Solanum lycopersicum: one gene and its partner. The protein of the gene in region 1 interacts with the protein of each later gene in a pairwise test. Links are inferred from orthologs where the notes say so. Each region holds a gene or a part of one and is shown in the gene's direction. Other genes may lie near its edges. The genes, in order: nuclear cap-binding protein subunit 1 and nuclear cap-binding protein subunit 2.

What was found.
Region 2: the proteins of nuclear cap-binding protein subunit 1 (region 1) and nuclear cap-binding protein subunit 2 interact in binary tests that used the Arabidopsis thaliana proteins (3 or more experiments, as listed by UniProt). The link is inferred for Solanum lycopersicum from reciprocal best matches to the Arabidopsis thaliana genes ABH1 and CBP20.

The regions. Positions count from the first base shown.
Region 1 is NC_090809.1:717,809-721,632, reverse strand, and holds part of nuclear cap-binding protein subunit 1, read left to right. Parts: intron 1-1,359; coding exon 1,360-1,431; intron 1,432-2,087; coding exon 2,088-2,150; intron 2,151-2,671; coding exon 2,672-2,848; intron 2,849-3,824. UniProt on the Arabidopsis thaliana protein: Component of the cap-binding complex (CBC), which binds cotranscriptionally to the 5'-cap of pre-mRNAs and is involved in various processes such as pre-mRNA splicing and RNA-mediated gene silencing (RNAi) by microRNAs (miRNAs).
Region 2 is NC_090801.1:50,429,204-50,433,027, reverse strand, and holds the end of nuclear cap-binding protein subunit 2, read left to right. Parts: intron 1-2,994; coding exon 2,995-3,051; intron 3,052-3,166; coding exon 3,167-3,273; intron 3,274-3,347; coding exon 3,348-3,422; 3' UTR 3,423-3,596; downstream 3,597-3,824.

The DNA.
Region 1 (3,824 bases):
CATTGAGGGTTAGAAGAGCCCTGTTTATGACCTTGTAACCTGGGCTCACTTTGAGTCTTCCTTTGTTGTGCTCTGTCCACTGTAGGCAGTCTCCCCTTCCTTCAAACCTTGAAATGATTCCAACCTTTTAAAGAACTCAACTAATCTACAAACTTCCCGATCATTTAAATTCTTTCTGTGAGATAGATCCCGACCTTGGGGTTCAGCCACTGTTCTGTCTTTATGTAGACCCCAAAAAGATGTATTCTCGTTGAACTCTTGCCGTCCTTTTAAAATGGTCCTCCATAGGCCACAACCGTTGGGAAGTGGGGCATTTTTAGTCCTCCAACCCCCCTCTAAAGCCCCATGCTTCTCCACAATTTCTCCAAAAAGCATTTACCTCTACCCAAATCTCTATAACCGCTTTCCTAGAAGTGCCTTGGCATAGATTCACTTTCCCTAACATGTATAGAATTTCTTGCCATGTGTACACTTTCCTAGAAGTGCCACCGTAATGTGGAAGGCCTGAATGTTCTTCAACCCTCATCCTTTACAATATTCCAGAACTGCTGAAAGAATGTTAGAGTGAAATAATCAGGTCCCAAAGCTGTATCTCCCGTATAACTTTCGATTGCCTCCTTCACCTCCTCTTCTTCATCACTCTTTTTAGTCACCCCTCTTTTCTTCCCCCTTTTGGTTAAATTCTAAATCCCCCAATCTAAGCCTCCATTCTGATTTCCGTCTCCTCCTCAAAGGGAAAATATGATCTAATACCACACAAAATGGTAGTGTCAGTTACCTTTTTTTCCCTATAAATATGAGCGAGGGGATTACAAGGTGGGGGATTGGCCCCATCCATCTAGGCGGAAGCTTGGTGAGGATCGGACCCCCACCATCAGGATTAACATGTTGCCTTAGCCCTTATTTCCCCGGGCAATCTTTATGTTATTACTGTATTTCTTTGTTACAGAGAATCTGTATAGGTTTATTTATTTATCTGGCTATTGTCACATCAGTGCTTGTGCTGAGCAAGAGTTCATATTTTTATTCAGTGTAGGGCTATTTGAAATTTAAAGAACTTCTTGTATTATGATTCCCACTAGTCGTCTTACAAGTCAAGATTATTGGGTGTTGGAAAGAGATAGGTTTCAAGTAGAGTTAAAAGGATGTATAAGATCCATACAACTGACTTAAGTAGCTCTGGGTGGGGTATATTTGGTTAATTGCACTATCAATTCATTAATTGGGATATTTTGCATTTCATGGTTATTATTTCCGCTTATTAAATTGTTCTCGTGTTTTCATTTTCCTTTTTTATAAATGTTCTATTACTTTGTTTCCCTCCTCCTCTCTGCATTTACGACATCTGTCCGTCTGCAGATTGGCCTTTTGAATTTGGAAAATGAGGAATTTGTCAGGAAATTAGTGGAGAGCACTCAAATTAATTTACAGGTCAGCAAGCTCCAATATTTGGTTATTCTTGAGCATTGGGAATAGTGATCTTGCTTTTTTTTTTTAAAAAAAGATGATCTTTTGTAGTAAATGGAAGTGGCATTTACCTTGATTTTGCATCTCTAAACTCCATGTCTGTTACTGGATACAGCTTAAGTCTTGTTACCCTGGGGTTATCTGCTACATTATTGTTTTTTTACACTATAAAAATCAACTTGCCAGACACATCTAGATTCATTTGTTTCAAATTTTCTTCTTGCTGTTTCTCTATTAATGCAGCAAAATGGTGCTAAAATATTTAGAATATGGTACACAAAGGCATGCCCAGGATATGCAATCTTTGGGTTCCTTTAGTAATCTCAAATTAATTGACGATGATAACTGGGTTCAGAATTAAATATTTATACATTTTTAGTGGATGTTTTAAAACACATAGTGTATGCGTAAAAGCTACTAGGTTACTCCTAGTTTTGGGCTTAGAGAGTTCTTTTGCTTATATGCTTTTGGCATTTCCATCTCCTTTGTTGAAGAAAGTGGTGTGAAAGGAGTTAAAGGAAGTTCCATCAATGTTAATTTTGTTGTCAAATTTGTAACATCGGCTTGTATTACTCTGGATGAGATGTCCTTTTGATAATTGCTATTTTCCTTCGTTTCAGGATGCGTTGGAGACTGGACAGTGCAACAAGATCCGTATATTGATGAGGTTTTTGACTGTTTTGGTATGTTCTAGGAATCTGCTATAGTTTTTCTGTTCTGATCTTATTGAGTTTGAAAACTAAGTGGTCTGTGAGCAGGGTGTTTGGTAGCCTTTTGGTTAAGGTATGGAGATATTTGGTAAAAAATGTAAGTATGTGTAAAGTATATTTACCAAAGTTTTATCATCTATGATTCCGTTCTTTGTGGGTGAAATTGTCCCAGCATTCAGAACATTCCTCAGGACCAAGTTCATTTATAACCATAATTTGTATCCTTCTCTCTCTCTCTCTCTGTAACTTTGTTATGATTTTATTAGGATTGAGTGCAACATTCGAACATCAAAGTGACTATTTTTTTTTATTAGGCTCGCCCATGAGATTATTTTCATCAAATTGAGTTCATTCACTTCTTTACTCAGTTTCTGCTTTACCTGAAACCTTGCATCACATTTGCTTGTGTCCTCACAGACAGTTTTGAGTATGATCTGATGCCGCTAGTTAATTGGTAGTTGTTAGTGAAGTTAATATATTGTTTGTGTTGTTAGATGTGCAGCAAAGTTATCCAACCGAGTGCATTAGTGGTTATTTTCGAAAGCTTATTATCATCAGCAGCGACTACTGTGGACGAAGAAAAAGGAATTCCCTCTTGGCAAGCACGTGCTGACTTCTATATTACTTGTATTTTATCGTGCCTTCCTTGGGGTGGTGCTGAACTTGTTGAGGTAACAATATGCACTTGATCAAAATGCCAAACCTTTATAGTTCTTGCCTGCAATTGGGTGACGAGTTCTTATTTTCCCTGCTTGTACTTTTTTTGGTTATTTTCTTTTTTCTTTCACGAGCCGGGGCGAAAAAATATGGATCTTAGAGATTCATCATAGCAAAGCCTCTTTGCTGGTTTACTGTACCCAAAATTGTAACTAAGCTTGAACTGCACATTGGGGTTGGCAGATTGGCAATATGAGTAGGAACTAGAGAACTTTATCCAAAAAAGGAGTCAGGTAAAAGATTTATGGCAGTATCCCGAGTAGATTGGCATTTAGGCTTACTTGATTGATCTCAAAATTAAGACATCTGTTACAAGGGGCAAAGTGTGGGAATATATTTCTATTTCTGTTGCTTACACTTATAAGTTCATTACACGGACTTTCCTTTTTGACGTAGTATAGATTTCATCACACATTGAATTAGGGTTATACTGTTGATTATGAGTATATACTGCATGCTTGTAGATGCCTGGAGTCATGATCATGAAGGCTTTAAGGCTTGTGCCTCAGCTTATTTTGTATTATTATTGTTGTTGTTATTATTATTATTATTGGTATTGTATTTTTATTACTGTTACTATTATTACTGTTTTGATGATAGCTGAGATATCCCTGAGGTCAATGACGCACAGTTCAAAACTTGGTGGATAATGAGCCTGCCCCTCCTTGCTTCTCCACTTTATCTGTTACAGGTTTTGAACCGTGACACTTGCCTAATTCACAAATCACGCGTGCGCTCTTACCATTAGACCAAAAACCCGGAGTTTTTTGTATTATTTCATCGTCTTTTGCTTGGTTCTTTCTGTCAAATTACTTTTTTGTTACGAAAACTTAAGTCCGAGGAGTAACTCAAAGTGTCTTGAAGATTGTCAACCATTTTTGGTTTTTGTGCATTCACAGTGAATTTATGTATTTTATATGTCTGTATATA
Region 2 (3,824 bases), on another chromosome or scaffold:
TTCATCTTTTCTGCTTGTAGGGCCTATTCAGGCCTCTTATGTTCAAAGATGTGATTATCATAGGGGTTGGGGTGGTTCAATTGATGTAATCCCTTTGAAACCCTCGGAAATTGTCATCTGCATCTGTTGCTCTGTATCTTCAATTCCAGGAGTAGCTTGTGCACTGCTCTCCTAGTGGTCTTCTGAATTCTAAGGGGTGCATTGGGTGTAGCAGCTAGGACCTCATAGTCGATAAGCCCTCTGTGTTTGTTAGTATCAATCTGCACTTGCTCCCCTTCGTCAACCTTCACCAAATGGTGGTACAACTTGTACATCCACTGCCTTCGACTTCCGTTTTGCTTTCTCTTCCCTTTTCTTCCTGTGTACAGCTCGACTCTTGAAAGGCATCAAGCAATCGATATAGAAGTGTCCAAATTGACAACTCTCTGGACAGAACTTTGTCAGCCATTCATATTCCACATCCTGTTCCAACATCTCCCATTTTTTTTTTTTGAGAAGGTAACAACTTGTATTTTGTTCCAAAACCAAAAAAAAAAAGGACCTGCCACAACAAGTTACAGGTTCCTAATTACAATTGTGGAGAGGACCAGGAAGATTTATAATCCTATAGCAAAATTTACAAGGAACCGAAAACATCTTTGACTGATTCTAGATCTACCGTGTCCTCCTGTTTACACCAAAAAAGAAACAAAACTAAGCAGTTCATCTTAATCTGCTGGATGGAATTGCTCTTGTTATGGAAGCATCTGAGGTTTCTTTCTTTCCACACTGACCACCAGATGCAAGCCGGAATGATTTTCCATCTTTCTTTATGCCCGGTAATGCTTGCATAACTGCTCCATAACTTCAGAGTCTGCATAACTTTCCTAGGCATAACCTTTTTCATGTCCTGATTGATAAAGACATTCCACAAAATGTTGGTTATTCTACAGTGAAGGAAGAGATGGTTGACAGTCTCTACTTCTTCTTCATCACATAGTAGGCACCTAGAACTCAGTTGAATATTTCTTTTCGTAAGATTTTCCTGGGTCAAAAATGCCTGCTTAGCAAGGAGCCAAGTAAAACAAGATACCTTGTAGGGGATTTTAGTTTTCCATATCAACTTCCATGGCCACCCATTCCTCTGACTGTTACAAGGATTGATTTTTTTGTACGCTCTTCTAATACTGAAATTGTCCCGATTGTGATCCTGCCATCCCAGACTGTCTTGTGCATCAATAGTTCCTTTGAACTGCCCCAAGACCTTGTAAAACTCCACCAACCTTTTGATCTCCCCGTCGTTTAGAGGTCTTCTAAAGCTCAGATTCCACCCTTGGTTTGACCACATCTCCGCTACAGTGGCCCTTTGCTGCTGGTTTAGGGTGAAAAAATTCGGGAACAAGGTACTTGAAGATCCTTGTTCTAGCCATCTATCTTCCCAAAAAACATCTCCCATTCTGTTTCTCAATGTTCAGCTCAATTGGGAGGGGCTGGGTAATGTCGATCTCGATCAATACACAGTGTGGGAAATTCTTTAACTGTGAGCTGTTAGCTTATCAGTGTATTCAGGTTTTACCCAAAAAGCTCCCAATTCAAACCAAGTTCTCCTCTGTCCAATATTGTAGAGGCAATCCTGGGAATCGCATCCAGAGGGGCACCACTCTCATTGACTCCTTCCTTACCTGATAATCAGGAAGCCAATCCGTAAGAATCACAGGTCTATTGTGGAATGTATACGGACCCTCTCTGTGATTGTCATCTTATCCTCGAAGACTCAAATCTAAATATGAAATACCCATCATCATGTAGGAATACATTAGGTTTCAACACCATTCCAAACTCTGTATACAGAGTTCAACATCTCCTCAAAGTTAAAACATTGGATTCCCACCGATAGCATAACCAATCAAAGAACTTTACCTTTTACGACATTAACGGTAATTTCATTAGGATTAAGGTTTCACATCCTTAATTTCACCCTTCACACTGTGCGATTCTCTTTTTACTGCATCAGCCATCGGTGAATAAAGCACAGGTCCACCGGCTGAGTATGTGAGTTCCCTTTTCGCCATAGCGACATCGTCCTCCACCTCAGTTGGTTTTGCCACTCACGCAGCTGTCTTTGTTGGGGCTTGTTGAATTGCCTTTGTGCGCACAATTTTGATTGCAAACCAGTTCTTGTGTTCCCAACTCCAGCAAAAATTGGTCTAATTGAACTGATGGAAGCTTCTGGGAAATGCCTGTTTCTGGGGTGGCCATTTGGGTATCATTTTCCTGATTCAATGGTGTCTTTGGAATAGTTTTGAGGGGTATTTTTGTCAAGCCATCGTAAAAGTGCACGTTAGTGAACCTTCTTAACATGCGCTTTCAGAGCTTGGTTACTTTGCTTTGTATCTATATCTCTTCGTGAAGTTCTTATCGCAGACCTCACTCGTTCTAATATATGGGCCTTCCAATTTATGAGTTATAATCATAGCTGTCAGAGGAATGGATTTTTTGACATAAAATACTGCATCTATTAAGCACAATGTCTACATTCTGAATGCTTCTTAGAAAATCAACCGTGTATGGTCAAAAGAATTGTATAAGTTTGAGCATGGATAGATCTAGTTGTTAATGATCTCGGTTTTGTTCCGGTCCCTAAATTTTGAGCTGGCCATATTCTTCCCCTGGTTAGTCTGGTTGTGTTTTCCCAAATAAATGCTGTGAGTTTTCATTGTTCTATATAAAATCAGAGATTTAAGCTTTGGGAGTTTCTCTAACAAGAGATAAAGGAAGAAGAAGAGATTGAATTAACCACTTGAGGATTTCAAATTAAGCTAGAAATAGTTGATTTACTCGACCTTCATGCTCCACTGAATTTTTTCTTGCACTTCCAATAACTTCACATCATCCCAAGTTTATCTGCAGTTCTCAAACTGTTGATTTTGTAATACTGATAAAAAAAAATGTGGTACACTTGTTATAGACCTTTTCCTGTGTCTCTGTCATTGACTGATAAAAGAAATGCTGCAGATGGTAGACATAATGGTGGAAACCATGGTCGTGGAGGCTCTTATCGACATGGTAGAGGTTAGCTCTTCAAAGCTTTTAATTCAGTTCTAATGCTCTGCGTTATTGTATTTTTTCGTTTCATTTGAATAGATTAAAGAAATAGGAGTAACTCTTTATCTTACGTGGAAAACAGACTATCATCGCAAGCGACACAGGGAAGATGACCACCATCGGCCAGATTATCCAAAGAGGACTTATGAGCGTGAATCTAGGAGAAACTCTGATCATGAATCTAGACCGGTATTTTCTTTTATACTCTTTGAGCTGCAAATCCTTTTATCCCTCTTCGGTTTTAGTGAAACCTTGTTGTGCAGGAAAAGAATCCGCGTTTCCGTGAGAGTGGTGATTCTGATGAAGAGGATGATGATGATAGGAAGCGGCGTACCTAGTTGTTTCAGTTCATTGCTGTGTGTTACTTTATAAAAGAGTTGAAAACCTGCTCTTTTATGCTCTCATTAAAAATGTTGTACATTTAGGGAACGTATTTGCACCAAGGAGTTATCGTTGCTTCTGACTCTTGTTTTACCTTTCATTTATTAGTATTTTTCTGATGGTTATTGGAATTCTTCTTCTTTTTTTTTTTTTTAAAAAATAGTCTCTCAGCTTAAACTAGCCTTCTCATGCACAATTCAAATGTTTGAGGGGAAACATGGTTTTGTATCCCTTTACAAATATGTGTTTAGTTTTATGATTATTTTTTTTTTTACAAGAGATCTTAATCAGCATTGAAGGTAAGAATACTCTAGTTGTAGTGCTTAAAAATACTCGTAATATGGTAATTAATTTCTAAT